2 linked regions of the Oryzias latipes genome follow. The protein of the gene in region 1 purifies or fractionates together with the protein of each later gene. This does not show direct contact. Links are inferred from orthologs where the notes say so. Each region holds a gene or a part of one and is shown on either strand. Other genes may lie near its edges.

Region 1 (17,119 bases):
TGGCCTACATTAAAATAAACCTTTAATCATTGGATTTTTAGAACTTCCTTCCTGCTGTTTTCTATATTTATCTCACTTTTTCATATGTGTTCATTCACACACCCCACCTCCCATCCAGATCATGTGGCAAATATTATAAAAAACATGAAAGAAAAAAGAAAGTACACATTTGCTGTGCTAGTTTTGTTGACTTTGTGCAGTCCAAGTTAAAGAATTACAAAAAAAGAAAAACGAAGAACTAAAACCACAAAATTCACAAAAATAAAATCCTCCATAAAGCACAAAAGCATCGCATTATACTGATATAACTCCAGCAAGTCTGCCCTATTGAAGCAAGAAGTACACATGATATAGTGAGCACTTAACTTATACAAGTCCTAGAAAGGTACTTTGTAGTTTTTCATTAACAAAACATTTTATTTATAATTTAACTGCCCATTTATATGAGTCACTTTTATAATTTATATGCAGTTGGGACAAAGAGAACATGTTTATTGACTATTGTCACGGCACTACCCATTTTATTGTCATGTTTTAACAAAAAGCAGAACAGCCCAAAGCAAAAGGCCAAGTATCTTATTCCATCTGCAGCTTACATCGCTGTTAAGTTGTGGCCGAGCACTTAAAGCAGCTTGTGTTTGTAAAGCGTATGTGTTGCAGTTACTTGATGGTAAAAATGAGTAATACGAGTACCACTTCTCACTCTGTGGCAGTGTTAATGCATACAGTGCCAAACAGATATTTTTCTTGCACCAATGTGTCTTTGATTTGTCAACACCAAAGAATGAGTGGGGTCTTCACCTGTGCTTTTACAAGTTGGAGGCATCAACAAGTGGTGGGAACCACAGGGAATTTCACATCACACAGTCCAGACTAAGGGTGGGAGGCGTAATAAAGAGAGCATTGACATCAGGGCTGTTAGGTCTGGAACAGAGCCTTTTTTTATAGTCACAGTTTTGGCAGGTTGGAAAGCTCATGAGAACTCTGGTATGGACCAGAAAAAGGTACCATCAACCCAATCTGCCTAAAAGCTATTAATTGTCTTCCTTTCCATTAGCTGAGCTATAATAAAGGTAGGAAGAAAATGTAAAATTGGACTCAAGTAAAAACAACATTATTCCAAAACGTTAAAGTCAAAAGAAGTCATTCAAATAATTTCCAAGATCAGCCTTAAAAAAACAAACAAAAAAATCACTATTATTTTAAACTTGAACTTGTTAAAAAAAAAATCACTTACAGCCCTGCTTACAGAGAATTTAAAATGTTTTGTCAGTTCAGCTTCCATGAGGTCACAGCTCAGGTCTTGTCTGTGAAAACGCAGAATAAATGTTCTGATGAGGACATGGGACGGAGAGCTAAATAAGAACAAACACCTTTTTTTCTAAATCAAACCCTTTTGAGATCAGCGTAATGTCATAAAATGCACAAGTCTAAAAATGTTTGCACAAAGTGTTTTTGTATTCAAGCTGAACTATCTACTAACTGAACTGTAACTGGCCTGTCAGAAGAGCCACAATCGACAGTTGTTGCCACTCAGTTCTCAGAGGAACAGAGTTTGACTGTCCCGCACTCTTTTCTTTTTTAAAGAGGATTCATACATGATCAAGAAGCAGGGTTTAAGGGCAGGGATGTCCAGATCCCTGCCACTTGCGGGCAAAGGCAGGGGACATCCTGGACAGGTCGCCAGTCTGTTGCAGTATAGATATTAGCTACCGGTTATCATATTTGATTACTGATTCTATGCTTTTATACAATTATTGTTGTGAAGCCTGATGAGACAACCGCGTTGTGATATTGGGCTATATAAATAAAATTACACTGAATGTGTAAATTGAACATTTACACAAAAATCTGAACTTTCAGCCAAAACATCTCTCTAGACCTGTGGTCTAACTGATGTGAATTTGTTGACTTTTCTTTTCCAGCTATTCTGCTGTAGACTTGTTTGTGTGCATTGGCTCATCATTTACATACACAACAAGCATTTGGTCATCAACTGATTTCTCAAGTCATCAGATTTTTAAGATAGATGTAGAAAGGATGTTCTGCAGTTATCTGATATCGGACTATTACATTTTCGACTTCTCTCCGAAAAGCTGACTCTTCCTGTCCACTTTTATCTGTGCATGTGTGAACTAAAAGCACAGATGGAAGCAACATGTAACCACAGAGTAGTCTTGCATGACCAAGCCAACCGCTGTTACTTCCGCACAAAGTACAAATAGAGAATAGAAGCTAGATATTGTCTCTTTATTTTGCAACTATTTTAGATCCCACATTAGCAAAGCTAGCACTATGTCTATCGGTGCTGCTACATTTATAAAAGACAGACTGGTGGAGTTTTAGAAAGAAAAGTTCAAAAGTTATGTCATTGTGTACGTAAAACAAAGCAGATAATTGACTCCCACGTAGTCTAGGGTTTTATGATGATCATATTTCCATAGTCAATTTGTAAATACAGTGGAGCAAATAGTCTGCAATTCTGCTAGTTGTTCCACTTCAACTGTGAGAAAACAAATGTAAACATTTTTGCTTTTACAAATATTCTGTCCCTTACAGACCTGTCACCTCTTCTTTAAGAAGCTTTTCCATCCTCTGCTTGCTACTTGTATCAATGATACCTGTTTGAACTGGTTATCTGCATAAAAGACATGTCCATACCCTTAAACAGTCAGACTGCAACCTGTGCCCCATGATCCAATCCAAAAAGCTGAACACAGGGAGAAGATTGTACACCTGAACAAGACTTGGATGAACTAATCTACAACAAGCAAGCAGCTTGTTGAGAAGAGATCAACTGTTGGAGCAATTATTAGAAAATGGAAGAAAAACAAGACAATTTCCCTCCACTTGGAGCTCCATGGAAGATTTTATCCGGAGGGATAAAAATGATCTTCAGAACAGTGAGGAAACAATCCAGAACTACACGGGGAAACTGGTCAATGACCTGGAGAGAGCTGGGACCACAGTAACAAAGGTTATCATTAGTAACACACTATGTAATCATGGATTAAAACCCTGCAGAGCTCCAAAGTCCCCCCTGTTTAAGCCAACACATATCCAGGACCATCTAAAGTTCCCAGAATCTGTCCGAATGACCCAGAGGAGAAGTGGGGAAAAGGTCATGTGGTCAGATGCGACCAAAATTGAGCTCTTATTGATGCAAGGTATTGATGCCACTAGGCGTGTTTGGAGGGGGAAAAATGTTGAGTTGCGTCCGAAGAACACCGTTCCCACTGTGAAGCATGGGGGTGGAAACATCATGCTTAGGAGCTGTTTTTCTTCAAAGGGAACAGGACGACTGATTCGAATTAAGGAAAATATGAATGGGACCTTGTATGGTGAAATTTTGACCAAAAATCTCATTCCATTATTGAGAATAAAACATGGCTTCTTCCAGCATGACAATGATCCCAAAAAGTCTGCTCTGGCAACAAATGAGTGGCTACGGTACGTAAAAGCATCTAAAGGTTCTGGCGTGGCCTAGCTAGTCTCCAGAGTTCAATCCAAAAGAGAATATATGGAGGGGAATTGAAGGAGTGTTTTTATTCATTCTGTCTCTCACAGTTGAAGTGCATCTATGATGAACATTACAGATCTCTCATCTTTGTAGGACAACTTTCAGAACATTTTGCCTCACTAGATCTGATAAACTCGTTCATTGTTCAACTGCATGACCAAATCTGAGACAGGCTTTAGTGACCAATCAGCTGGTCCAATATTTTATCCTAAATGAAATGCTTTACATGGGATTCCTATAGGAATAAATGAGAAACCTGATCCAGTAAGGGTACAATAAGCCAAAACTGAAGATGGTTGATAAGTTAATTAGAAAATCATTCAATGCAGAAAGTTGCGGTTAATGCATTGCTTACACACGTGAATTGACTCTAGCAACACATAATGAACTCCTATTCTTGCAGCAACGCCCCCTTTATAGCATCAGTTTTAGCCGATTGTGTGCTACAGAGATGCACCGGATTCCTGCACCACATTTTTATTTCTGGATTTAGCCCCACGCCTTAGGTAAACCCTAAAAAGTTGAGCAAATAAAGCAACAAAGCAAGATAGTTGCTATAAAAAAAACTGAAACAAGCACAATGTGCACAACTCTATCTATGCTCTACTTTCGGTCTGAATGGCAGTCCCTGGCGCACGCCTACACACGCGCACGCGCGGCAACACACTCGCACACAGCAGATCCTCTTCAGAAATGAAGCACACTAAACCGCTAAACAATGTGGTGGCTAGTAGGCAACCTGACGTAGCCTTGTTAGCCTGTGTGTGTTTCAGTCAGTTATCTCATTTTGAATTACAAATGAATCATTCACTCATAATATTATTTTAGGTAATATGGACGGTATACACTCTAAGGTATAGATAGTCTTCCAAACATGTGACACGGCACTCTAATCCGCCAAATAGTGTATGCCGCCTGTGCGTAAGCCAAACGGAATCTAACTATCAGAGCTAGTCTTGCTAAGAGCCGAAAGAGGCTAACTGGCTAGCTTAGCTAGCACCTTAACATTGGCTTCAAAGGCATAGAGATTTATACAAAACAAACGACAGCTACGCCGATTTGGCGCTACAGTAACATTTATGAAGTAAAAACTTACCTTTAGAGTATAGCGATTTGGGGGAATTGAGGTCGATATCCGTGCTAAGGATGGATGTAAAATCAGAGGGCATCGCAGATCTTCATCGAGGGGAGGAGGAGCGGACACTCCACCAGAAACGAAGTCGGCTGTTCTTAGCCAATGAATACTGCGTTTTACAAGAAAAATGCTTTAATATGCATAGTATAACATGAAAATAACCTCCCTGCAACAAAAAGAAACCTATAATTATCAGAAACATAAACCGTTATCTAGCACGTCAACGGGTTGTGTCTTGACTGAGCAGACACGTTCAATGCTGCGATTAGACACACACACATACATACAAACAGACGCGCGAACACACACACACACACACACACACACACACACACACACACACACAGTTTACTGCCGTTCTTCATCTCCGTTTGATTGGTTGAAAGGTGTCTACCGTAAGAATTATTACTGCCATCTGGCGTTTAAACCTGCAAATAACACATCGATAGATGTGAGATCTATCGCAGTAATTTAATCCTAAAGTCAAATCGCGATTCTTTTATTTAGAATTAACACTTCAGTTGGAATCTCATGGAAGCGTATCGCATTAAAGTGATTAATAAACCAATGCACTTTGACTGCCATTGTGGTGTTGTGTGAGTCTTTCACCCACAATTCAAAGTACAATTAAATTCGTAATTTCAATTACATAAACGAGCTGTGTACCATTGTTGAGGTAAACAGAAAACAACAAATTATTATATATTTTCTGTTCAGAATCAGAATCTTTTATTGTCATTATGCAGTGCACACTGAGAATTTTTCCAGCAGCTGTTTTCCAACAATATGGAAAATACTATATGAAAAACAATAATACATAAGACTGTACAGACTGTTCATTAATGCTAATGTGTCAATGTTTAGAGTTTTGAATCAATGGTTCTTAGTTAGTATTCTCTATTTGCAATTTCTAGTGTTTGGAGACAACTTTCAAAATAGTCCAAGCTGGCTGTTGTATAAATATGCACTAAACTACTACTACTACTACTACTACTACTACTACTACTACTACTACTACTACCACCACTACTACTACTACTACTACTATTACTACTACTACTACTACTACTACTACTACTACTACTACTACTACTAATAACTAATAAAATCCTTAATTCACTATTTTTAAATATTTATGTACACTGATAGCCACAAGTATTCACGTATTTAGATTTTTTACATGGATTTTGATTAGACATTCATAATGTGATTTTGATCTCAGTTAAACTTAGACTACATCTTTTTATTTTATTTTATTATCATGATTATTATTATGATTATTATTATTGTGATTATTATTCACCAATTAGGTGAATCAAGTTTTTAAAATGAAGTCAGGAAAATCCGCTTCTATTCCAACTTCTAATCGCTGCCTAATATGATTTCATTAAAAAAAAAACAATTGCTCCAACAGCGTCAGTTTTGTACTCAGTTTCCCATGTGGCAGTTCGGCAGCCGTCACAGTATTGTTGCGGAAGTATCGCGAAACGCTGTTGGGGTCTGCATTCATTTCTGCAACTATTTCTCATCGGTTTATCGTTTTGGTGAAGACCCAGAGTCATGGCTGCTCTAAAGTACGCTGGTATGGACGATACAGACAGCGACGACGAGCTGCCTCCCGGATGGGAAGAGAGATCTACGAAAGACGGATGGGTTTACTATGCAAAGTAAGTCAGACAGACAGCTCAGCTGCGACCAGCGCTTCTCCGCACTAGTCCTCAGTTTTCAATTAAGGAAAAAAGCGCCTCCTTGATGTTGATATTGTTTCGTAAACGCATCCAGCTTCACAGATTAAAAAAAATGTTGATAAAATTTCTTGTCTATTACATTTAGAACTCCTGCTGCTTATTGCTACTACTATGAATGCATTTTAGGACATATCTGTAAATAACAATGTGTTATTTATAGCAGTAACATATAAACGTAATTTCTCTGGACATGTAGACGCTTTAGCCAATATTTTTCTTGTTAAAGTTCAAAAACCTCTGACGACTTCAGATCATGGGCTAGAATGAACTTCACCCCCCTAAACCTTAGTCTGATGATGCGACCCTTTGAAGCAAATCCAGTCCACAAAAGCAAACTGTTTAAATTAAATAACTGTTAGTAATCCGATAATGGTGATGTGATGCATTGATATGCATTTAAAAGATACGATAATTGATAAACCCTGATTTACAGGTTTCGCTTCATTATGGATTTCTTTGAGAGATGTGTGCACATAAAGATTTGGTCAAGTTGAAACAACCATGTCTACAGTGTCAGGGTTGTAGTTCTATGGATCATGCAAAATACAATGCATGTACAGTGGTGGACAAAACTGTTGGTACCCCTCAGTTAAAGAAAGAAAGTCCCCAATGCTCACTGAAATGACTTAAAATGTTAAAAAGTAGCATAAATTAAAATGCATTGAAAATTAAAGAATCATATTCAGCCATTATTTTTGAGTTGTTGATTAACAGAATTATTTCCAAAAACAAACTAATGAAATAGAGCTGGACAAAAATGATGGTACCCATAACTTAATATTTTGTTGCACATCCTTTAGAGGCAATCAGTGCAATTAAACGGTTTCTGTATTTGTCAATGAGCCTTCTGCACCTGTCGACAAGTATTTTGTCCCACTCCTCATGAGCAAACTGCCCCAGTTGTCTCAGGTTTGACGGGTGTCTTCTCCAAATGGATGTTTTAGCTCCTTCCACAGATGTTTAATGGGATTCAGATCTGGGCTCATAGAAGGCCACTTCAGAATAGTCTAATGCTTTTCTCTTAGCCATTCTTGGGTGTTTTTGGCTGTGTGTTTTGGATCGTTGTCCTGTTGGAAGACCCATGACCTGCGACTGAGACCAAGCTTTCTGACACTAGGCAGCACATTTCTACCCAGAATGCCTTGATAATCTTGAGATTTCATTTGACCTTGCACAACTTCAAGACACCCTGTGCCAGATGCAGCAGAGCAGCCCCAAAACAGAACTGATTCTCCTCCATGTTTTACAGCAGGGACAGTGTTCTTTTCATTGTATGCTTCATTTTTGAGTCTACCAACATAGAGCTGATGTGCCTTACCAAAAAGCTCGAGTTTAGTCTCATCTGTCCTAAGGACATTTTCCCAGAAGAAACAACTGTGATGTCAATTAAAGGACATACCTGGGTTCATCATGACCCTCTGGGCAATTAGTTCTCAGCCTTTTATGGAGGTACCATCATTTTTGTCCAGCCCTATTTAATTAATTTGTTTTTTGAAATAATTCTGTTACTCAACAACTCAAAAGTAATGGCTGATTTTGATAATTTAGTTTTCAATTTTTTTAAAAAAATTATTGTTACTTTTGAACGTTTCAAGTCATTTCAGTGTGCATTGTGGACTTTCTTTCTTTAACTGAGGGGTACCAACAATTTTGTCCACCACTGTACATGCATGCAAACAAGCATACAAACACTTTCCATGTGTAAGAGAACAAAATGATTTTTGTTCTTATAAACTGACTCTACAACCCATAGGAGATGATTGAACACATGTGGGTAACAGACACTCCAGAACACCTTTAGTGGTCGTTTGGTTGCATAATACCTGCACAATTTTTCAGGATATATAAGGGCAAACTGCCTAGTTTTATGCAGTTCGTCAACATGTTGTGTTTGAGCAGGTTTTGCGATCACTTTATTGACCTGTAACTCTGTAGGGTTGTTGTAGCTGACTGGAAGTATCCCTGAGGAAGACACCAAGCAGAAGAGAAACCAAGCTCATTAAAAAAACTTTGAATCAAAATTACTGGGTACCTTTTTCCTTTTTATTTAAATCAACAAAAAAATGTTCCCCAAATAAGATCTTACATTTTATGCAGTTTAGGAATGGAGTTGACAAATGCTGCCATCTAATTGGGACGTGATTACAGTTCAAACAGGAAATGTGCTTAATTTGCTGTTTGGAAGAAATTTAACTGAAGACAGATTGTAATTCTGTAGAAAAAGATGACAGCGATTGATTTTAGTTTAGTTTTGTGGTTCAGAACTATAACATATCTCATTCAGAAACTGTTAAAAAAATGCATATCCACTTCATAATAGAGCTTTATTACAATGTATTTGTGCAACAACCCAAAAAATATACTTGTGGGTAGCTCATTTGAAACAGTGAGCAAAGGTGCATTTAGAGAAAATTGAGTACAGAAATTAATGAAAATATTATGATTATCTTTTTTAATTTATAATCCCATTAGGCAACATGGTTATGTCCCTGTTTTCCTTTTACAGTACATGAAGACACTAAGGAGACATTATTTACAGCATAAAGAAAGGATGGATTAATTGACATAAATCACTAAATCTAAAAATAAAAGCTTCATTTTTTTCTGTAAAAATGGCGTAAAGTCCCACTCTGATCATCTTTGATCTATTGAAAAAGCGTTCCCAGTGGTCGTTTTGTTGTGATTATGCAGTTTATAAGCAAAATCAAAATAACCTGTGTTGTTTTCTAGGACATAGTTTCTGCAGAGCGGCAGCAGTTCATTAGGGACTATTGACTCGGAGTAAGCCTTCTCTGACTTAGCTTACAGCCATTTACAACCCCAACATATCATTACCGCTGCAACAAAAACGTTGAGAAATTTTGGAACTATTAAGCCGTACAGTTTTGATCCAGATTCCAGTTCAGACGAGGAAAACAAAGACGTTCATGGATCTATTTCAGGGCTCCAGACTAACTTTTTTCACTAGGAGCACAGTGGCCCCTAACTGAAAATTTTAGGGGCGCAACCAGAAAATTTAGGGGCGCATACCGTAAATCAACATTCTAATCAAATCTACTAATTTCCACTGTATTACTAATAAATACTTTAATAATAGATGCAGAAATTACAATGTGCTGTTTCAAATTCAGTGTCACATTTTATTCTGCACTTTTGAAGATGCAACAAAACAAAACCATCACTGTCATGACAGTACAAATTTGTCTTTGTGACACCAAATAGGTGCAGCCAAGATGCACAATAAGCGTGTTTGAGATCACCCAGGTGAACTCAACGCTGCACAGATCACCTGGTGTGTGACATATATTTTTGTTTTTGCTCCAACATCATGCTGTACACTCTGGCACTGGTACACTAGCCGCAGGTGGGAAGAACGAATCAATAGTTCGCTTGCTCATAGCTCAGACGCACATATCAGGTTTTGATATTTGTCTCAGTTTCCTTCCCACAGATGTTTACGCGCACTCGATTATCTCTAGGCCCCTCCCCCTCCACGCATTTTAGCCACTCACAGTGGCTGTCCCTATTCTTCTCACACGCAGTGGCCGCCTCACAAACAGGCATCACGCGAGAGTGTACGTGCTCGCGTTTCATGAGTATGTGCGCGAGTGTGTGTGTCTGCCTGCGTCCGTGTGCGCTTGCGTCTCATTAATTATTTCATTGATCATTGACGTGCCCCTTCCACGTTTAATGTATAAAAAATACGAAGGGTGGGGGAAGCAAATTTACTGGTCGCGCATGTGCGACTGGATGTAAAATTCAGTCGCACACTCTCAAATTTTGGTCGCAAAATGCGGCCAATTGCTCGCAGTCTGGAGCCCTGTATTTGTCTGCAAGTGGATGCATCAGAATGGAGCAGAGCAGGGAGCTTGCAGCTTACTTTAGTAACTTCTATGTCACACCTACAAGGTTTTTCCTCTTGATTCACAACAATTTGAAAAAAGAAATATTTAGAAGAGCAATCTTAAGGCCTGTACACACCGGGACGAATTTGACACGCGATTTTCGCCGACGTTTAAAGCCTCGTGACTAAACAAAGGGCACCAATGAGAGTGTGCACACCGACGCGAAAAAACGCCACGCGTCAAAGCGTCACTTTTTAAAAAACGCCTCGGGTTGGTTTTTTTGGTTTGACGCGCTGCGTCAAAAACTATACGACCAATGAGAATGGTGCTTTTGCACACGTGTCTGGAGCTTCTCAAGTTACAGTAAAACACAACTTGGGTGCGCTCAAACACAAAACTGTCTTTCTGAGCACTCATACCAGCGAGGAAGATAGACGCCAAGTAGCGTCTACACTGCCGCGAAGAAATAATGACGGACATTCCTAAATATCCCCGAAAACGCTCATGATACATTTTCAGCTCTTGTACCAGTCGATAAAACTCCCCATGTTCTTCTCCTCTCGTAACTATGGGATGTACCCAAAATCTGCGTCTTTTCCGGCGTCTTTCATCATTCAAGAGAACAATAATTTCTTCATCGCTGGAACTGGAGTTGGAGCTACTGTTGCTGGAAATATTCATGTTTTCTTTGTTTGATTCTGACAAGCGCGTAAATACTTGCTCTCTTCTTCTGAGTGAAAAGCGACTTTAAGAAGCGTAAAGTTGCGCAGCGCCACCTTGTGTACAGGGGTATTTCTGATTTACATTAAGCGCCATCTAATGTCAGGGAATGAAATTGCATGTTCACTCGGCTCATCGTCAGCGAAAATTGCCTGGGTGTGAACACAAAAAACGTGTTGAAAGACGCTGGCGAATAACGGTTGGCGAATATTCGTCCCGGTGTGTACGGGCGTTTATGCTTAATTTTCTATATCTAGATCCCCCATCATGAGAAAAATGCCAGAAGAGCATGCTAAAAACAGCAACAATTTTTTTTTATTGGACTGAGTCTTTAAGGAACATTAAATACAGATCTTAAAATATTCCCTTCTCTGCTGCTGTGCTGGTTCCAAGCCCGGTTGGATTGAGAGGGTTGCGTCAGGAAGGTAAAGTTAATGTGTTGTGTTGTGACCCTTCTGGGCCACCGTAGGAAGGGCATCCGGCGTAAAAACATTGCCAAGTTAACCATGCGACTCATCCTCGAGGGAGGGTTGTTGCTGTGGCGACCCCTGATGGGAGAAGCCGTAAGTGAAAGAAGAAATACAGATCTTAAAATAAAAACCACTTTAGTTCAGAAGAAAAAGCAAACTGTAAGTTTTCAGTAAAGATTATTATAAGTACTTGAAATTGGAGACCATGAGTTATAATATAAATTGTTAAATATTAAGGTTGTGTTTAGTTTTATAATAGTAGCAGTAGTAGGTGAGCCTTGATCTCCCCCAAATACAGAAATCAGTTTTGAGCAACAGGGAGGTTAAAATAAGTCATCTTCACATTAACATGAGATGGAATAATTTACATAAATATTCCACAGGAGCAGCACATTACAATACATGGAAAAAGAAACAATGCACATGTTCACATTGTACCACAGAGTAATGAAACAAATGAACAAATTGGTAGACTGTCTATCGTCCTTCATACAAAAAAAAATCCCTAATAAATGGTCTAAAGTGTAGTTTAGAAGTTACACAATAAGTAACAAATGCATCAAAAATGCATTGCTTAGTCTCAAAGACAGAAAAGGTAGTTCAAATTTTCCCCCATCCTTCATATCATTGGCAAGCACAGCCCTGCAATCCACTTGTCTCGGTAATAAAACAGACCTATTATTGAGACTGATAGATATGATAAAACATTTTCAAGTCTCACTCCGATCCGTTTCTACATCCCAAATAAGAGCTTTTCAGATGGCATTTTACGTCTGCCTCTGTTTCTCAAATACCCAGAAATGCAATTTTGAATTCAAGTTTATTTCTTTATGTCCTCCATCATCAGAAAAATGCCAGAAGGACACGTTAGAACACCCAAAACACAATTTTTAACTTTAATAAAGCATTAATTTTAAGATCAGGGAAATAAAGCTTATTCCTGGAAGGTATTTTTTAGGGAATGGATTTGTTAATAGGATATAGGCCTTTTTAAAAATTTATTTTAATTTAGCCACTGTTAAAAATGTTTCTGCAATTTATTTTAATTGTTTTAAGGATTAAGAAACTAACAAAGAAGCTGGCAATGTTATCAACCTTTTCAAAAAAACAAAACATATATTGAATAAATGAATAAAAGGACATGATTGAATTTTTACATTTTGAGTCATCTGTCTCTTTTTTCCCCGTACAGTCACGAGGAGATGAAGACACAGTGGGAACACCCCAAGACGGGAAAGAAAAAGCGCTGTGCTGGAGGTCTGCTTTACAGCAATAGTTGGTCACACTGCAGATGCTTTTATCCAAAGTCTCTTGTCAAGTTCTTCTAAATCAAGTCAGAGATTTATTTTTAGTTTAGGATCTAGAACTTCAGAGATTTCATTTGAATATCAACCTATTTATGTATTTATAACTTTCACTCATTCTAGATGCAAATACGAGGCTTTTATGAATTTCTGCTTTGCAAACACTGAGAGTATTTTTGCACAGATTTACCATACGGGTGGGAACAGGAGACCGATGAAAAGGGACAGACCGTTTACGTTGAGTATGTGGATTCTCTAATGCTTTCTATTTTTTTCCTTCCTAGCATGTAATAACTTAACATATCTGGTGCAATACCAACAGAATTCATGTTTGCTTTTTCTGCTTTTAGTCACATCAACAAAAGGAGGACGTATTTTGACCCGCGCCAGGCCTTCACAGTGGAGGATGTAGTTGTGAAGCCAAAGCGTTATGATGGAAACACTGCGGCTTTAGAGATCCTGCAGGGTCGTGACCTGTCCGACAAGGTTGTTGTGATCACTGGAGGAAACTCCGGAATCGGTGAGTTCACTGTGATCAACGTGTGCTTTTGTAAGGAAGCCACTAGGTGGTGATGTTGCTCCTCGGTGGAGAAGTATCTCACACGTGTATCATTCCCATCATTCCTCCCTCTCCGTTCACTACCAAGCATTCATCAACATTAGCCTCTAAAATGATACACTTAGACTCAACAAATCACTCCTTAATACCCAACATGACTGTATTGAAGTTCATTAGCAGGGCTGAATTGGATGTCATTGTTAACTGTAATGAATGACGACCATTTGTGGCCGGCAAATGCATGGCTCCCCATATAATGGTTCGGAAACAAATGCATTTCCAGTTTAGCTTTAGTTTAATTTAGCAGCGGCGGCGGCCATTTATTAACAGTTGCTGCTTTGTTGGAGATAGATAATGACAGTGTGTGCAAAATCAAATAAACATAAAATCGTTAATTGTTTTTATATTCAAATTCTTTGTCCCGAGGAAAATCACAACAGTGTAAATACTGCGTGTAAAAAGCGACGCTGCACGGCAGAATGAGGATGCAGGGATTTACAGGAGCCTGGGGATTTTTTTCTTTTCATTTTTTCAAACAAAGGTGGTTGCAAACGGCAGAACCAGAGCCACAGATTTGCACCTGTCTTTATCTTTGAATACACCTGGAACATTACTACAATAAAAACATTATTAAAATGTTTTAGTTTTAGATTGAACATGTGAAATTTAGTGTGTTGTTGGGAACAGACTTTTGTCTCATAAAGCACAGCATTCTGGGTAATTTCAGCTACAATCTGATGCTCAGGCGGACTCTGAAGGAAGGAAAAATACCCCATAACATAATTATGTTAGTATGAAGCATGATGTTCACCCAATAGTTTTTTCTTAGTTTCCAGCTTCTCACTGAAAGCACTGAATATGCAGTTCAGGGGAGTTTTGATTGAAGTTCAGGAGCTAAAAGAGAAAAAAAATGAATTTATGTTACATTTTTCTGAATTTAAAGTTCTTGTTTCACATGTGAAAACTTCTGTAATTGTGGTCAAAGTTTAAAGAAAGATTTGTTTGGAAATGTATCCATAGCAGCAGATGTTCAGTTATCCATATGTCTCTGAGTCTCACTGAATGAACTATTTTAAACCAACATACCATGTTAGGACTGACATTCTTTAACAGTCAGACTGAAGTGGATCTTCCATTCTTCTCAGTTGGTAGTTTATGCCGACCAATTATAATTTTTATTCATAATCGGCCTTAGTGAGCTAATTATAGGAAGGGTCAAACAGTTTGTTGAGTCCTTTGTCATGAAAGGAGATTTTGAAGGTTCTAAAAGGCGGGTAGCAAAGACCGGATGAAGAAAAATGTAACTTGTTAATGAAAAAAAGTGTGACGTAAAATGACAAGACAGCTCAGAAAGTTGAAGACACAAAGTAACTAAAGAGCAGCGGTGATGGTGACAAACTAAAAGAAGACGCGCTCATCCTTGTAAAGAAACGGAACAATTTTATTTAATAGAATCTAACCAACTAATCTTAGCAAAAAAAAAAAAGTGAGCAATTTTAAAGGCACAGTTCAAGATCAGGTGCCTCCAAGGTCAGGTGACAGAAATAAATGATAATGATAAAATAATCATTTTTAGTGAAGAATATATAAAATGATTTTCAAAAGGGACTTTTTCATTTTTTCAAAAACATTCGAGTATAAATAACTGGAAAAATTGTAATGTAATCTTATAAATCCAAGTACATTCCTCCAATAATGACAGAAAAAAATGAAGGAGTAGAGCTGCATGAGGCTCTACTTTTAATAAGTATATTTTCTGTAATTGTTTCTAAACTTTCTAAAGAAATGTTAGACCAGATGCTGTCAGAATAACTCAGTGTCACCATGAAGAGGTGATCCATAAGATAAAGACAAACCTTCGTTTCTTCATCACTGGGGACATTTGCAGACGGAATTTGCAGGAATATGAACAAATCCAAAATGAAAATGTAATCAAAGGGAGACTGAAGGGAAAAACAGACATATATAAACATGGGTTTTTAGACATGTAATGTTCAGCTAAAACAGTGATGCTTTTCAAATTAGATGGTCAGGAAACTGACTTGATTTGGCTTTTTTATGGGGTTTTTTCTAAATAGATTTGTTTTGCTCACAAGGTTTTTTTTTAATAACTTCTTTGCGTAAAACTTCTAATTTTGTATTCTTATTTATGTGCAGCTTAAACTTAAAAGAAATTAACTGTCTGACCAAAGAGTTTGCTGATAGAGTAATAGCTTTGCCTTCTGCAAGGACATTTACGAGCTTAGGAAGTGCAATCTATGTTAAAATTACCAACTTTAGAAAAGAAATTTTGTTTCGCAAGAAGATTTTGTCAACGGTTTTAAAAGCGGAAAAACAATTTAATTAAAGGTAAATCATAAATCGTATTAATTTGATTTAATTTTGTGTTTTTGTCCTGATAAAATGTAAATTTTCTCCACAAGAGGGCGCAGTACGTCCATAATTTCTCCTATTCAGATTCTGCTACACACATCTTAACATTCTAAATTTTGCTTTGACTTTGAAGTATAACTAAAAGAAACAAGTTACCTATTTATTGATTTAGTTAGGATATTGACATGTGTTCATCTGAAAAAAATAAACAAAAATAACAAAACTTCCTCAGACAGCTCTAACAGACTTTTTTTTTTTTCACAGTGTGTGAATACTCAATAAACCCATATTAACATAACCTCTTGTTTTACTCTTCCACCTATTAAATATTCAGCAGCCATAATTAACAGTATTTTAATAGTAATTGCTACTTGTCGTCTTCTCCCTTTGACATTTCCAAAGTGAAATGTGGTTATGCCGATTGGGTGGACCCACTTAGCATTTTAATGGCATCAATAGTGTTTTATTCCGAGTGTCGAAGCTATTTTCATTTTCCTCACTGCTTATTTCATTCACGGCAAATGTGACATTTTTATTAGTAATGGTGGGATATTATTTAATTAGAAAATGTGCATTAATGCTCTTTAATTTTGTTCCTAATGCATGCGAACATGAAAAGCACATATAGGGATTTATTTATGCATGAAATATCATGGTCTCTGGTTTGGCGAGCAGCCTTGAAGCTTCATTGCACCGGTGCTGGGAGGCGACAGGGTAATGTGGTTTGTCTCGCCGGCGAGTTCTCTCAGCTCCGTTTGTAGCATTAGTCTTACTCTCTCAGACTTCCTTTGCAAATTAAAGCCCAGTACCAACCTGAGTGGCGATTTTTAATTGTGATAATGGAAATAGATGATGTTCGTTTGTTTTCCCCAAAGCTGTGCTCCTCTCCCACGCTCCCCTTTGGGTTTTCTCACTCTTGTGGACCTGTAGTGGCCCACCTGTGCCTCTGCATTGATTCTTAAGCGGCTGTGACCCAGGCCTGAGCCTCCTATCCATCCACATTACTTGCTTTGGCTCTGGCTTTAATTCCCTTCTAGCAACTAACTCTCAGGTTATTTACTGGCCTGAGAGTCCATGGAGCAGTTATCCCCGAATGGTCTGCGGCCTCTTCCAATTGGAAAGACAAAACACATAGAATAATAATAAAAAATATCTTTTCTAAACTTGGCACTAGCCTGCTCTTGCAATATAACTGTTTCTTATAGCCAAACTGGATTTGTAATGTCATCTCTTAACACGTGCTGTCATATTTGCCCCGTCACAGCTCTGTTGGGAAATGTATGTACGTTTATGAGTTTGGCTACCTGGGGTGAATCATCAGTCTCCCTGGTGCCATGTTGTCAACATAACAAATGTTTGATAGTGGTCAGAAATAGCATATTGACCCCTTGTCTCTGCAGGCATAAGTGACCTCTATTTGCAGATATTTTACTCTCAATTCAGCA
Region 2 (17,008 bases), on another chromosome or scaffold:
TCTCGAGGCATAAAGAATTTGATGAGGCTTCGTTCATCGCTCAGAGAACAGAGCATGGAGCCTGTTGTTTTCACATCTCTGACCAGATTACCTATAAATAGAACATAACGTGCCAAAAATCTCCCATCACCCCCCTCTTGTCCTGTAACTTATTTTCCCGACCCTAATTTAAAGCTACATCCACTCACGTGAAGGGTTTAATCCTTGATGGAGAAATTTTTCTAAGCACAAGACATGCTTTCCTGGATTCTCACTTGACTTCACCTTCACATACAAGGAGAGACCGTCCAATGGATGATGAAGTGTTTTGGTTGGGTCCAAAAACGCGTGTCTGATCGTCACGTACGCATACAAACCTTTGCCCCGCCATTAAATCCTTGATTTTTTTTCCTGAATGTCACAAGGACATTCAATGTCTCAATTCATTAAGCTCCCTTAATGAATTCTTTATCAGTGAAAAGGTTTCCATGTTTTGCAATGCAATGTGCAATGCCATAACTTGCTTATTTTTAGAGGTGGTAAAAGGTTTGGGGGTACTTGCCTGGTTCACATACTTCGACACAGCAAGTTTTCTTGACTCGGTCTTATCCGCTTTGTCTTTAAATATCTTCCTGTGTCTAGTCTCGAAATGCCTCCTGATACTTGATGTGCGGCACACAACATTTCTTTACACATAAAGTACACACAGCACGGTCTTTCAAACAAACGCACAGTGCAAGAAGGAGGACTACCGCAGGTCCTTCCTCCCCACAGCCATCAGACTGTACAACACCGTGTTACAGTGACACACGACGGACCCACGGGTGTTTTTCATTCACTCATTTATTCATATTACTTATTGTTGCAGTTGTTGTTCTCAGTTGGTTTTGCTCCTGAACGGTTGTTTCTTTGGTGTGTATTTTTTTACTTATTTACTTTTGTTTAAATTGAATCTACTTGCCGTAAAAAAAATACTTTGCAGGTTGCAGGTGTTTTCTGTTGTATTTAAGATGTTATTTCTTTAAATACACTGAAGGTCATTTTATCTTCTGGTTCTATCAATGCTTGGCATCCCAGCTTGGAATATTCTGGTGTGGATGTTGTTCACTAACTACAATATCCAAGCTTAAGCAATCAGCCTTCTGTTATTGTCCTCCGCTGTTGAGTTGGGGAGATCCCAGTGATGCTTTTCTGCTTTGGGTTGGCAGTTTCATGTGACTTTGTGGGAAGAATATTGTTTTCTGGGCACAGCTTTCCATGTGTAACTTGTGTTTTTTTTTTTCTACAGACGAAACTGCCTTCTGGCAATAAAATTCAACAAGTTAAACATGTTTGAACCAGTTCCAATTATAAGGATGTGAAGTTGCACTTTTGAAGCCTGAAATATGACTTTTCGAATTTGATTTAATTACCCTTTATTAAAAAAAAAGCTGTAAAAACTTCAAAGACATTGAAATGTTCTCATATTAATGTCTTTACATCTCTTTGAACCAAGAACCTGAGGAAGTCTGTAAACTTGATTCACATTGGCTGTTGTAAACCACCATAATGACACGATACACCAGCAGATGGAGGTGAGTCACCAACAAGAGGGTGGCTGTCATTTTTCTGCCCTCTGTGTCTTGGTTACCTTTACCCTTTCCGGGGGTATAATTACACCTGAGACGATTCATAGGGGGATTCAAGAGGGTGAAGAGGAGAATCAGGTGTGGCGGCAGCGAAGCAGACACTTCAGCAGCAGCCGGAGGACACACCCAATGCCAGATCTGCAGCAACATGAGAAGATAAGTGGGTGAGGGGAGCCACCACGGCTGAACCAGAGTGGGCCCTGATCCAACAGGTGTGCAGAAGGTAAAAAGTACTCCTTATCTGTCTTAACCTGTCAGGTCGGAGCCTCGCCCGCTTGTCAGCATTTACAGTGAACTCGGCTACGGCTCCTCATCCGGGCAGGTTTTTTGCACATCTGTGTGAGGCCTGACTCTGTAAAGAATGGGTTCATTGTAGTTAATCGATGTCTCATACAAAATCTCATTGTAATCTGATTTAAAGTGTAAAATACTGTTGGGCTGTGTGTTTGTATGGACCAATACTTGAGAGACATTGGCTGCTTAGCAACAGTACCCCCATGTGTGTAGTTTGTTTTGTTAGTGTCTCATGTGAAAAAAGGGGGAGAGACACAACAAAAAAAGTCAGTTATTGTTGGTTTGATGCTTTTAATTCACTGCTAAGACGTGCCATTGACTTTTCAAATCTTCTTTAATCTGTGATAAGGAGCCACAAGTTGGTTAATTTTAAATTAATCTATTTTAATTGATTATTACAACCACTGGTAGATAGATGGGTTTGCAGTGGGCCCATGTGAAGCCAGCCTTTCAGATCAGCAAATGGAACTCCATACATCCATTTTCCACTGAATCCCCTTCAAGGTCATAGGGTTGCTGGAGCCTATCCTAACCACTGTTGGGTGGAGGCAAGTGCACCCTGGACAGGTGCATAACCACACACACATTTACACCTAGGGATAACTTAGATACACCAGATAACCTATGAAGCACATAGAAAGGACCAAGTCAGGATTTGAACCTGGGCCTTCTTGCTGTGAGTGCTTACCACTCTTCCACCACCTTCCGCCCAACCCATTTTGTGTAGACAGAAATTGGACAGGACAAAGTAAACATTAAAACTCTGCTGGCACCATCTTTTTACTGCCAAAGCAACAAATGAAGGTGAAGGAAAACCTCACCTCTAAATGTGCGCATTTCAAAATCAAATCAAGAAAAAAACACAAACCTTCAGAGTTCCCATGAAACCAAAGCAATAAACCTTCAAAACTTTCTTGCCACCAAGTATATTGTTTTAGGGGAAATCAATTGGAAATGGTTCCCTTTTGAAGCCAGCCTTCAGTGGTCTTTAGAGAAAGTGCAACAATTGATCCTTCCTGTCCTGCATCAAATGAAAGTATGCAAGGATTGGTCATCAATGATCCCCAGACTTTCTACAAATTGACTGATGGTGAAGAGCAAACACGACTGAAAACTGGATAAAAAACAATGAAGCAGTTCTAAAAGTTAGGATGGAGCTTGTCAATCGAAAGACCCCACCCCATTCTTTTATTACAATGTCAAATGTAAAATACAAAACTTTGGTTTGTCAACGTTCACTCCTTGCATCATGAATGCTAAATCTATGCAAAAAGATGGCAAAACGTTTCAGAACCAAACCTAAAATCTGCTTATTTCTGATTTGGTCTTTTTTACGTTAATTGGAGTGAATATATATGGATCTGAAATGTCTTTAGTAAATGAGCTTCAAACAGGAAGTTACAGACTGTCCATTCATTACAACTAATGAGCTTAAGTACAATAACAGCCTATTGTGTTTTTTTAGAAATATTTAAGAAAGGCTTTCTTAAAGATTAATTTAATTAAACAAGAACTAGCTAAAAACCAAGCTAACATTGAGCAGCAACTGAAAAATATGTAAAATGCAAAAAGTGAAGAAAAAAAAACTACAATAGAACCAATAACAGACAATCTAGGATATAAATAGAAAAAAACAGAAGAATATACTTTATTATTATTCAGGGTGGCTGGATGGCTCAGTTGGTGACGCACATGTACACGGGAAGTCAGGGTTTGATTCCCAGGGATGCAATGAGCTTCATCTAGTGTGGGACATTGGGCAAGACCCTTCACCCTACTGGCTGACTATGTAGCCACAAGGGGCCCCCAGTCTGGGTCCCCCTGTACCGGTCCTCATATAATGGGTGGTGTCAGGAAGGGCATCCAATGTCAAAATCTCTGCCCTACTAAATGTGCAAATCAGTGAAAGCCAATTCTCTTTGGCGACCCCTGAAGGGATGTACCAAAAGGTGAGCAACATATTTTATTATTATTGAACCAATTGATAATACGAAGCCCAGACACACACAAAAAAACACAAACGTCAAAAAACCATCAGTTCTTGGACGTTGTGTCTGTAAGGTGTGTAGTGTCCCAAAACACAAATTCGTAGTATAACCTTTCAAACTCTGAGCCATCCATTTGGTAAAACAAACATTTTCTTACAAGCAAAGCCTGTTGACTCTCTGACGTAATCATTTTTTGCAAACTCAATGAGTCACTGAACGTGCTCTTGCACGCACACGCGTGTAAATGGAGAGGAGCTCCAGTGACTTATGACTTCCTTTGTATGGCTCTTCTGTTTTTTTTTTGGTTTTTTTGTTTCCTGTCCGTCTCCTTTGTTTTGCCTTTCCTCACGTTTTGCATGCAATCCGGCACACTGCATGGTCCTGTGATGATGAGGCAATGGCTGGATAATTTCAAAGATGAAGAATGTTACGAAACATTTTTAGAGGAAATCTGATAGGGTTAGACCTCTGTAATCCCTAATTCCAGTCTTGAGCTTATCTTCAATCTTCTGTCTCTTTCCAAGTCTTCCAGGTTCTGCTTAAGACTTGCCTACATAGGTGCAGTTGAGCCCCAGGGCCCTTACATCATGACGGGGGAGGCTGTCCCAGCACCCCAGCAGGGGAACTTGGAGGAACCTGTGGATGTGGAATGCCCCATCTGCTACCAGGAATACAACCAATACAACAAATGTCCTCAGATGCTGGAGTGCCTCCATGTTTTTTGTGCAGAGTGCCTCCAACTGATCCAAATCAGACCGAGCAATCCCTCCGACGCCAACAGCCCGAAATCGATTGCCTGCCCCCTGTGTCGTCATTTGACCTTGCTGGACACTGGAGGCGCCCTCTCTTTGCCCTGCAACTCTCGCATCCTCTCCCGGCTGCCCCCAGCTGCCCCTCACATGTCTGAAAGAAAGACCAACCGTCTGTCCAGTGTCCCCCAGGGAGTGGTGTTCTCCCTGGAGGGCGACAGCAGGGACCCTGGTTTTATCATAGTACCCACCGTCAGCCTGCGAGTGCAGCAGATGCATCCGGAAAGGCCCTGCGGGGCAGCGCCGGGTCTGGTGGGTGAGGAAGGGGTCATCCAGCAGAGCAAGAGAACGCTGGGTTGTGTGCAGGTCCTGGCGGTCGTCTTCTGGGTGCTGTTTGTGATCACCTGCGTGTTTGGCGTCGTGCAGAGGAGATTTTAAAAGAAAAAAGGAATCGTTATCTCTTTATTTTGTCTCACTTCATGAATGTTTCTTTTCATCAATTGCAGATCATGAGCTCCCTCTAGTGGCCAATGAAGAAATGCACAAATGCCACACACTCAATTGACACAAACACATTCAACACCTATTTGCCCCAGTCTCAACAACATGGGCTGTTAATACACAAAACCCTTGTAACTAGAGAGATTTACCAGCAAATCACACCCACATGTTCTGGTCTTGTCCAGCTCTACACTCTTTCTGGAAGGACATTTTTAGATTATTATCCCAGATCATGAATTATAAAAATTATAGAACCCAGTCCTTTGACAGTTATCTTTGGTGCACCTCCGCCATCTGTACCGTCTTCCTCCTCAAGGTCCTCTCCTATTTCTTTTGCCTAATTTTGCTTAGATGGGAGTTTTCAAGTCCTCCATACTTACACTAAAAGATTCACTTGAAGAATTCCACAAAGCCTGTCACAGAGTAATTTATCTGTGTGAAGGGGAGGAGGGCGGGGCGGTCAGTCATGGTCTCCGTTTTTGCAAAAAATATCTATTTTTATTCTATTAATTGGTTGTTTTGTTTTGTTGGTTCATGTTGTATTGTGCATTTTTATATAGACTTGTGCTGTTTTTGTTGTAGCCTTTAATCTTTTTGTCTAAGATTTGTCTCATATAGTGGTTTATTGTCACCATAAAAACTGTTTTTTTCTTCCAGATTTTGTACCTGTTTGCAAATACAAAAAACAAATTGCAAAAAAAGCAACATATCTATATGATATATGTATTATATATATTTTAAAATCTTGGTGTTTTTTTGTGGCAACGACATTTATCCTGAAGTAATTATGCTGTATTTGGTGCTTGTGCCACAATATGCACCATTTTTTTTAAAGTCCAGTTCCACATGATCAATTACAGCCAAAATAACAAATTCTTTTACTGTTTTCAGACTGAATTTTCATGCATCACTACTATTTCTGTGCGTGTTTAGAAATTTCACAACCCAATCTTAAAGTCTTTCAGTTTCTGCCCAAAGGTCTCACTTAAAACCATAACATTGGCACAGATATCAGCATATTATGATTTTATGACCATTTTAATCCCCCCCACCCCCCGTACAATGAGGTTTGAGTATTTTGAGTTTATTATTGTTTGCACTGATGTAATGATGTTTGTTGTGTGTTTAGTTCTTTTTTTTGTGTTGATCTAATCTGTTCTTGACTCCTTTACAAAAAACTTTGTGATCTTTTTTGAGAAATATGTTATAACAGGAGAACCCAAATAAATGCCATTTAAAAAATGAATAATGGAACATGACAAAACACTGTTTGTGTAAGTTCACTGTATATTTGTGATATCAATGTTTATTTCAGTAAATTTCTCAATTATAGTGTATTTTTAGGACTCTTTTTTTATGAAACCTTCTTTAAATCACATTGTGTGTGAATGGATTTGCCTTTTTGCTTTTTATGCTGTTTATCTGCTTCATTTAGCATTCTCACTTCCTAATCCCATCAGTCCCAAAACATCTCAGCAAAACAACTCATCAGTAGAAACCTTTTATCACAACTCAGATGACCACAATGTTTATTTTGATATTTTTAGTACATTTTATGATGGACTCGAAGTCCAAATGTCAGCACTGAAAAATAGAGGAAAAAATACGGTTGGACTGTGATGTAGTGGGTAGCACTCATGCCTTGCAGTGAAAAGGTCTTGGTTCAAATCTCAGCTGGGACTTTTCTGTTTACATGTTCTCCCCAGTTCATAAACATGCTTCATAGGATAATTGGAGTCTCTAAATTGTCTCTTGGTACAGTCCTGCCGTCTTATCACTCAATGCAAAAACATACTAGAGATCACAACGTTAATTAAAAAGCAAAATACGGATATATAAAAATCGATATTACATTTTTGGAAAACAAAATGGAATGTTAAAAAACGAAACACGATGAGAAATTGAAAAAGGTGACTGGATGATAATATCCAGTATCGCTTCATGTCAAATAACTTTCAGCTGAAATGATGGACAAACGTCATCGTCCATCAGCGATGTCCCAAAACCTTTTCCAGTGTCTCATCATCGTTTCTTTTTACTAACATTTCATTTTGATTTCTGGAAATTACTTTTGCATTCAAAAATGTGTTTTTCTTTTTTGTTTTTCATGGAAACCCCCAACCTATGGTGCTCGGCATTTTTGTTACACGGTAATGTTAGGTTGAGGGTGTGAGGGGCTGGAAGCTAGTGGGTTTTCAGATTTTGTGTGAAAACTGCCTCAATTAAAAGACACTCGGAACGCTTTAAGATAGATACAAACTTTAATTTAGTATTGGAAAGTTAATCAAATCAATTTTAAAAAATTCAACAAAAATTGGGGACATCTTTGGATTTGTGTATATAAAATTTAGTAGAAAAAAATAATAATTTAACAATATTTTCCTTTTTTTACCATCAAAACTAAAACAGATAATTACATGTGTGTAAGGTTTATGACGCTATTAATTTTTAATATAATTTTTAATCAATGTTCGGTTTTAGTTGCAATGGGTTTATGATTTTTTTTTATTTAAATGTCTTTAATTAAAGTAATGGGCAATGGACTTAGTAGAGGGGCCTCCCGTACGTAAAGCAGAAAGGGGGGTGCGTCCTTACGTCACACGCAACAAGTGGTAAAAAGTTGTTGGACCCCCCGCCCCCTCCCACCCCTCCTCCTCCCCTGTATGTTTTTGTTGAGGGAAAAGTTGTTGGGAGTTTTGCTCGTGTGAATGCAGCGCCTCCGCCGCTTTTCGGCCCTCGGTACTAGCAGAGGGGAATGCCCGCCGTTTCGTTCCTTCAAGTCGGAGAAAGAGCCGAGGAGCAGAACCTTCCAGATCTTTATGTGAAAACGTAACCTTTTCGGGCTCCAACGTCTCGTTAGCTTCCTTGCTAGCTCCCAAAGTTGACGCTACCTCGCCTCACACTCACCGCTGTGTGTCCCGTCGGAAGTTAGCGGGTTTGTGGGGAAGGAAAAAAAATTAACAAAAACCCGCAGAGATGGCGGAAACCAAGATAATTTATCACATCGACGAGGAGGAGACGCCGTACTTGGTGAAGATACCGATAGCTGCCGAAAACATCACTTTGTTGGATTTTAAACAAGTGTTGAACAAGCCAAACTACAAGTTCTTCTTCAAGTCTATGGACCAAGACTTTGGGTGAGCTGCTGAGATTTCTTCTTCCTGCGCTGAACATGAAAGGATTGATTACGCTAAAAGTAAAGGAACTAAAATTTAAGCGACCAAACGTTCATTCAGAGGCTCATATAATTCAAATTGTGTGGCAAAAATAATATACACATTTATTTTTTCCTACTAGTTTTCAGTGCGTCAGTAGCTGAAAAAAACGCTCCAAAATAGCAGGAAAAACCGTTTTAAATGACATTAAATGTGTATTTTTTTGTCTATTTAGTTTGTTCCTTACAAAACTGTTGGAATAAACGACTCACTGAGTTGTTTTTTCTCCTCTAACGAGAAACCACGCAGTGATGAAGATCATAGCGGTTCTTTAAATACTTTGGATTCTGTGGAATATTTTCAGAATAAAAGACTCCCATTACAATGAGAGGCATTCCTCGGCCCTGCAGCTTTTCTTAGCCCTAATAATCCTCCTCCTCTTCCTCTCCCCCCTCTCCTTCAAGTGAACTCCTCTTTTCTTTCTTGCGGGACTGCAGCCAGAGTTTTGTCCTTTCTCCTTCACACTTCAGCCCGCTTTCCATCCTTTCAATCCCCAACTCCTATTCTATGTAGCTTCTCCTTCAGGTAGAAGACAGGAAAACTGTCTTTCCTCTTCCATGTCATGGTCTGTAGTAGAGGAATGGACGATGGTTAGTTTAAGTCGGTTTCTATTATTATTATGTGTGTACTTGTCTTTTGGTTGGACCATCAGGATATTTATTCTCTCAACCAGAACCTTGATTTAAAAAAATATATAATTTGTTTTATATTGTATTGTGCCTTATAAACTCTAATTAAGATATTTTGAATTGAAATCAACATGGATTTATCACAGGTTAGGCAGTTCTTATTAAAGATGTTTCTGTAGTAGAGAAGTATGCATTCCTCTATAGCTTCTAGTAGCCAATTTCACTCCTGGGTTTTAGTCACAAGGACCTTTTGTTTTTTTTGGGACCATAAGACGCTCCTAAAATCAACAGTGCATTGTATGTATGAATTCTGGTTGTGTTAATTGATGTGGAACCGATTTTCTTTGGTAAATGGCGCTCAAAAATCTGTCCAAATACTTCAGAGAGACTTTGGTAAACTACAAAGCTGCACCTGGAGCATTAAAGCCTTGTTTCCACTCAGCGATCCGGTCCGGTTTAGAAAGCGATTCAGGTGAGCGTTTCCACTCAAAGTTGGACCGGCGCATGTGGGACGTTTGAGAGAAGATTGTGGTCGGCAGAGCAGAACACAGCCGCTTTCTTTTGTTGTAACGACCTTTAGCCAATCGACAGGTTTCAACAGTAGCTCCGCCCAAACCGATCTGTTCCATTTTTCTATGGACCTACAACCAACAGGGGCCCAAAAATGGTACGGTTAATGGGTCCATTTTACCTAGTGAAGTGATACGTATTGTGTTTCAACATAATGGATTGAAAAAGTGTTCTGTATTTTGTGTTACAACTGAACAACGTTGAGAGTTACTGTCAATAAAGTTTGACTTATCTGCAGAGTCTGATTATTGCAGGTAGGAGAGAAGAACTCAGTTCACTAGAAAAAGGTTCCATCAACCCCCTCTTGACCAATTCTATGCATTAGGCCAACTTTGTGCATTCTGGCTATTGTAGTTATATCACATGAAATGACTGTTGTATTGCTCAATCTGCCTTATGGTCCAACAAATCTTTTTGGTTTTAGACCCTCCAGAAAATAACCCATCATGGAGAGGGGCTCTTGATTCCACCTTCTAAAATCAGACAAACATATTGAATATCCTTTTTGGTTTAACACGTTATTTTTGATCCAAGTGGCTCGTTTATATATGCTCACTTTTCAGTAGAATTATTGTTTCCAAATTCTCATAAATGATGCTGCACTTGTTGTAGCTCTCATTTTTTATTGGCTCAGAATTGGGGCTGAACGATATGAAGAAAACTTGCGATATGCGATATGAGTGATCAATATTGCGATAACGATATCATTTGCGGTAAATAAACAAATAGCAAAACAACCAAAAGCATCATTCCCATTTCACTGCAACAGTTTAAAATGTATAGTCCAAATGAACCTCGGCGAGGTAGGATGCAAACATCTAACATAAAAGGGTCCATCCGATTGGTCAAATGCATAAAGGGATTTATTTGATTCATTAAATGCTTCAAGCTGCCATAAGATTGTTTTAGCATATTTAAGGTAACCATTTATTGCGATTTGTGATGACTTTTGCGATATGCATATTGCACAGCTTGATATCGCGATAACGATAAATTTGCGGTATATTGTGTGCAGGCCTACTCAGAATGCAGTGTGACGTTGTTCAAATTAAACCTTTATTAAACCAGAATGGTCAAGTATTGACAAACGTAGGTTAAAGAATAAAGAATCAATCAAACCCAGAGCTAAAGTTTTTTTAACCCTTTTATCTTGGATGTTGGCAATGACACGTTTGTGCAAACACTCTTTACACTGAAAAATGTCAACGCTTTCTAAAAGATGAGACGCTACAGACAATACAATGTTGTAATGGGCAAAAAACTCAGAAGTTCACAAATAGCCCCTATGTTTCCAAGGAAGACAGTTATTCCTGGTTAATTTTATTCTTTTTCTGACCAAAACTGTTACAGTCAATGTTACAATAAACAAACTGAGGCTGTCTACATGCCTGCAAATGCAGAATAACTGAATTAGCAGATATATACAAATTAATCCATGGAAATATGGTCATTTGTAGATCCTCATCTACATGGTTATCTTGGAAGAAGCTTTCAAAGTTTCGGTGACTCAAGGCCCATTATTGACCCTTGTGCTACCCTAGGCACTTTAACATTGGGAGTTGGGTCATCTAGACCCACTAGACAGTGCCCTGAACCTTTTTTCTTCAATGATTTGTGATCTTCACTGGTGTCCATGGATTACATGAAATCTTTCCACCTGTATCCACCTTTGTCATGGCAGGGAGAACACGTCAATGTAAGGTGGGGTCATCTAAGATAGATCAAGAGTTACGCAGAAACCCAACTTCAGCTTCATCCCATGCAACTAACCTGACATATGACGCAGGTGTAGGATTTTCCTTAAAAAACAGGTTCCTTGAGAGTTTTTGGCACTAATCCAACAAGCTGGAGTTACAACGCTGACTTGTTTTGTGGATAAACAATGCAAGAACGGCAGATTTTATTGATCATTTTGGCCCAACAAGACCATGAACCGTTTTTTCTACCATGATTTGTGATCTTCACTGGTGTCCATGGATTACATGAAATCCTCTCCACCTTTATCCACCTTTGTCATGGTAGGGAGAACACGTCAATGTAAGGGTGGGGTCATTTTGACCCCAGAAGATAGCACAAGGGATAAATAAACAAAACAATGTCCATCTGTTCTCGTAAACGTTGGGAGCTAATTGAACAAAAATAAAATTTAGATATAAATTGCATTTTTGTTTGTTCTATGCAACTGTCTTTTTTTTAAACAACATTGTTATATTGGATGCCTTAGTTTAGCGCACTAAAAAAAACTGCATCTGAATATTTTCACTATAGACTAATACATTTTAATTTCAATCTTGTTGTTTGTGGTGGGTTCTGCAGAACCGTGTTCTCCTGCTTAAGGCATGCAAACCTTTGCAGGCATGCAGAACACAGGCATAAAAACACCTCACTGGGTTCTAGATGACTTCTGCTAGATTACCCGATGTGCTGCATTGGTAGAATAAACAAAATTTTTTTAAATTCTTTTTTTTTAGTATATGTGGTCCTGATCCCTTAGAAGCTGCTTCTGGGTCACGTTTGATCTGTAGGCCACTATTTATAAAGCCCTGCTTTAAGTACAGCTGATAAATGAGTGTGCTAAAGAGAAGTAAATTAGAAAGCAAGCATGCAAATTACCGTATGTTTATTATCACTAGAGTGAAAGTGATAAGTATTTATCTTAATTAGAAATCATTTTGACTCAATTTGTGATTATCTAAATGTATACAGTCAATAATGATTTGAATTAAAATGAGAGATTTTGATTTGCGTTCATCTTAAGCGCGAAGATCTTTAATTTTTTTATTACATTAGCTGTGATGCTGTCTTAACAAACAGGAAAACACGAAGATCAGACTTCTTAAAACGACCAAATTCTTTCCAAACCAACAGAGTTTAATGAAGAGAGTGATTATTAATGAATTTAGAACAATTGACAATAAAAAGGGGTTTATCTAACGGTTTAGGTTTTTTTTTTGTGGATTGACTTTATAAACATAAAAGTTTATTAAAATTTCCACAGGTATTATTAATATTAATGAACCACAAAAAGTCAGATATCTTCTCCCAGACCAAACCGGTCGGTTTACTAGGATTAGCATCAGATGCTAATGGAGAGTTTAGCTAAACCTGCTCAACAGGCTTCAGTGTCACAACAAACACAAAAGGCTTTAATGCGAGAAGCTTGGGAGTTTTACCATAACAAAAGAATAACTATTTATTGTTTATTGTAAATAGGCAACAACTCCACAAACATCTGTGTTTTCAGATGTCAAAGTCCCACTCCAATCATCATCATTTTGATGGACTTTTAATTATGATGATACTGTTTTTAGCCAAAATAAAAAAAATCTTGTGGTGTGTTCTAGGACATAGTTTGTCTTCAGAGCGGGGAGCTCATGACCCGCCCAGCTTATTTTTTACAGAACTGCATTTTTGTCATCTGCTCTTGATGCACAACGATTTGAATAAAGAAATACTCAGAAATGCCACAAGAACGCATTAAAAACACCAAAAATCCATCAGAGTGGGTCATCAATTGATGTCTACTCTTATTTCTAGGACTGTGAATGCCCAAGATAAACAAAAACAGCAACATTTTCTTAGAATATGTGGTAGCATCCCCCTCTTTGAATGTCTAAATCATTTCACCAAATTTCAAAGGGTCAGCTGTCCAGTCATAGCCGGTACCCCCCCCCCCCCCCCCACTCCAGCCCTAAAAAGGGAGTCCTCTAACGTTGTGTGTTTTCCTTTGCCATGGTCGAGGCCAGCTGTTGACTGACGCTGCATGTGTGGCGGAGCCGGGGTTTGTGTGGGGAACCTGGGGCTGGACGGAGGCCATTTGGTGGGGGTCTCGTTGTGTCCGCAGAGAGCAGAAAGACGGGGACCGAACAGGGCGGTGTTGGGTTGGAGCTACTGGATATTCCTCTATGTGAATGTGCTTTCAGAGGCTTGGGGCCTGTTTCAGCGAGATTAATTATTGGGAAGCTAATGCCGTGTTGAATGCTGGGCATTTAGTGGTAACAGGGGAATAGAAGAATGGAGGAGGGTTGGGAGGAGCTTAAGGTTTTACTGACTGCAAACTGGGCTCAGCATATTTTCAGGCTTGTTTGTGCATTTTTGCTGGCATTTTGGAGCGTGTGTGAGCTGACTGCCCCGGAGTTTGTTTAGAGCAGTGCTTCTCAATTATTTTTTGCCAGGCCCCCCCTAGGAAAAGAAAATGTTTCGCGCCCCCCCTGACCCCCCCCCCCCCATAACCCCCCCCCCCCCACACACACACACACACAGACACACTCGCGCGGTGACAATACATCAGGTCAGTATCTATAAAATTTGTATACCTAAAATTGTATCTTTTAACACTAACAAAAGAAAAAAGCAAAATAAATCCACTTTCAACAAATATTAACTTTATTTAGCCACAGAAACCCTGTTCTAGTCTAAAACAGAAAAGAAGCTGAAAGTACCTGAAATAAAAAAAAATCTGTCATTCCTTATTTAAACTAGAAACATTTTGACCAACTGAACCATTTGATGCTGAAAAAAATAATTCAATCAATAAATAATATTAAATCTAAATTGATCTGAAACATTAACACAGCAGCACCAATATATTTAACGTTTTTAGTCTGAAGAAATAGGTAAAAACGTGCTGATTTTTTTTTTTCTAAATGACGGATTGTTTATTTCTGATCTCATAAAAGTGCAGCTGTTTTCCTGCATTACCTGCTGTCTTTCTGTCTGTCTGAAACCAACTAAACCACAGGCAGACAAAGAAAACATGGATGGAAAATAAAGACACGTCATCAAAATGTCTACAATAGTTCATAAAGAATGACATTGTTAGCATGAGCTTAGGAATCTAAGGGCAGCGGTGATCTTGGGCAACAGGCAGCGGTAGCAGTGGTCCGCGTGCCCCGATTCCCCTGGCAGACAGGGCCCACACCACCCCTCCCCTTTCGTTCTCACTCGCGCAGCCGCGGACAGACAGAACAGACAATAGGAACCGAATAGTGGACCAGATTATTTTCCAAGCACTGAGCCGCTGTCACCGCTGCCCCCACGTTAAATTTGCGCACCGGACAAACCTGTGCCTAAAACCGCCACCACCGCGCGCCCCCCCTGGCATCGCTTCGTGCCCCCCCCTGGGGGCGCGCCCCACTATTTGAGAAGCACTGGTTTAGAGGGCTGTGGAATGAAGACAACTCTGGTGGTTGTTGATGCATCTGCTCCTCATGCTGTCTAGACGTCGTTTATGCGAGGAGGGAAAACGCTGAATAAATGAAGCGCAACTAGATTATTTGTTTGTTCACCAACAGTCGGCGACCACACAGACGAAAACTCCCAGAAAGCTCAGACATCCTGCTTCAGATCCCCACGAGTGCGCTAAACGATCTGCATGCTAACACTCGCCCACAAACCCAGCGCTCAACAGCTGCTCACAGAAGCCCAGTGGAGCCGGGCCTAATCTCTCACACAAGAAGGACCCAGACAAGCTGACAGGGCTGGAAAACTAACCAGCGTTTGAAAGAAAATCTGTTAACATTCACGTGACGCACCGTCCATAAATGCAACGCAAAGCTGAGGAAAAGCAGGGAACACAAGTTAAGAGGAGAGAAGTAAAAGATTCTGACATTAACTTCCTTTGATTCATATTTTTTTTCTACAAGCAAATGAAATTATAAAACGTCTTGATGAATAACCAGGAACAAAAGCAGTTTATTACATTATGCTGTAAATGATAGTCTCCAATCTTTTTCAGGCTACAGACCGGTTTAATATCAGAGAATATTTTCACAGACCGGCCTGAACAAAGCTAACGGTGGCAACAGTTTTAGAATAAAATTATAATTGTACTTCTTTATTCATTTTTTGCTCATGGTTTCTCTTTAAAGTTAAGGTGCAGCGGATAAACAGCAATGATCTGGGTGAATGCTGAATTCCAATTGGCTGCAGGGTGGTGTCCTTTAAAATGCAAGTAGTTGACACCTAAAAATGAAGCTTCTGTCACATAGCTTGAATGTCCTATATTATTGAGCTGGCCTAAACACCAGTTGGTAACCGGGACAACAGAAACAAAGGTCTCTGTCGCTTAAATGGCTCTATGATGGACATGCTGGTAAATCTATCAAAGGTTATTATCAATGGCAACATTGCAATAAATTTTAAAGAGTGTTTTGTCTGTCTTGCTGCATGATACAGAGTGATGATGTGTTTATAAATAATTTTATTATAAAATGATGAAAGACATTGATTTTTAGTTGATACATATTTCATGATCAGAGTTAGTACTAAATATTTCTTACAATAAAAGCAATTTAGGAAACTGCCTGTGGACTTTGTTGCTTTGAAACAAATGTTTGCTTCATCATCTGAAAAAAAACAAGCGTTAAGAGGACCGCTGTCCCTCTGAAATGCTGCTTTGTATCACTCAATGTGACGTTTAGCCTCCGCTGTGGCAGAGATGGATCGCTACAAGCGCAGTAGCTGTTACCATGGCATCACGCCACACCGCGTATCAAATGACCTGCTTCTTGTGGAAAAACAACTCAGACGTAAAAATAACAGCATTACTAATATTTGATTTAATATTTCTTTCTTTCGTAAGTGACCTTGGTATGAGCGGAATAATGCCCTTTGATGTGTACATTATCAGAAAACGATAGACTTTGTAGAAGTTACCGTCCTCCACTTAGCATTGGATGGTTAACTCTTCCACGTCATCCATACATTGCTGATAATGGACACCTCGTTGGGCAATATTGCTTACGTAACTATACAAAATCTGGTATTTTCTTAAAGTTATAACGAACATGAATCCACCATGCTTGAAACTTTTTAAGCAGCGTCCTTATCACATTAAAGAGTTGGTCGCTGCATATGATGCAGAGTGGGCTTGGTGTCATTGTGATAAATCAGTACTTTGAGTAAAGAGGGTTTTTGCCTTTTTATTGCAGATTTACCTTTTTTATCCATTGCAGGCTATTCTGTTTCTTCTCGACTCTTTTCTGTGCAAATAAACTTTCTAAAGACATTTTGTGTTTTCAGAACCTCACTAGTTTGGAGTTTCAATTTACCGTACTGGCTTTAACAGCCGCTTTAAAAAGGTAGCAAATGTTTTTATGACACGTGACGGAGAAGAACAACTCGCCATGCGTCAAGTGAGTCATAGATGCATGTAGAGGACAAGCCGGTAGTTTTTTAAAATAAAGCTTTCTCTAAAATTAAATAAGTAAACGGCAATAATTTTAGTTTTGTACGATTTTCTCTGTGTCCTGGTTTCAAAAGACTATCAAACTATCAAACGACTGTCAAAAACAAAGCTACCAAAAGGCAAATGCTTTATTTAAGACTGTATATTTTATGTTTATGAAGTGAGTGTAAATGAGAAATGTGTGTTATTGTTGTACTGCTGCCTCTTGGCCAGGACGCTATTGCAAAAGAGATTTTAAATCTCAATGAGTTTTTATCCTGGTTAAA

What was found.
Region 2: the proteins of wwox (region 1) and dvl2 purify together in Homo sapiens (affinity purification with mass spectrometry; 4 studies listed by BioGRID and IntAct, counting the BioPlex papers as one, with this or other methods). This does not show direct contact. The link is inferred for Oryzias latipes from reciprocal best matches to the Homo sapiens genes WWOX and DVL2.

What each region holds. Positions count from the first base shown.
Region 1 is NC_019864.2:20,914,407-20,931,525, reverse strand, and holds the start of wwox (WW domain-containing oxidoreductase), read left to right. Parts: upstream 1-6,117; 5' UTR 6,118-6,215; coding exon 6,216-6,322; intron 6,323-12,630; coding exon 12,631-12,695; intron 12,696-12,926; coding exon 12,927-12,984; intron 12,985-13,092; coding exon 13,093-13,262; intron 13,263-17,119. Other genes in the region: nuclear factor of activated T-cells 5, read right to left, coding at 4,617-4,689. UniProt on the Homo sapiens protein: Putative oxidoreductase. Acts as a tumor suppressor and plays a role in apoptosis. Required for normal bone development. May function synergistically with p53/TP53 to control genotoxic stress-induced cell death.
Region 2 is NC_019876.2:14,915,115-14,932,122, forward strand, and holds the start of dvl2 (segment polarity protein dishevelled homolog DVL-2), read left to right. Parts: upstream 1-7,783; 5' UTR 7,784-8,115; coding exon 8,116-8,276; intron 8,277-17,008. Other genes in the region: RING finger protein 223-like, read left to right, coding at 4,477-5,076.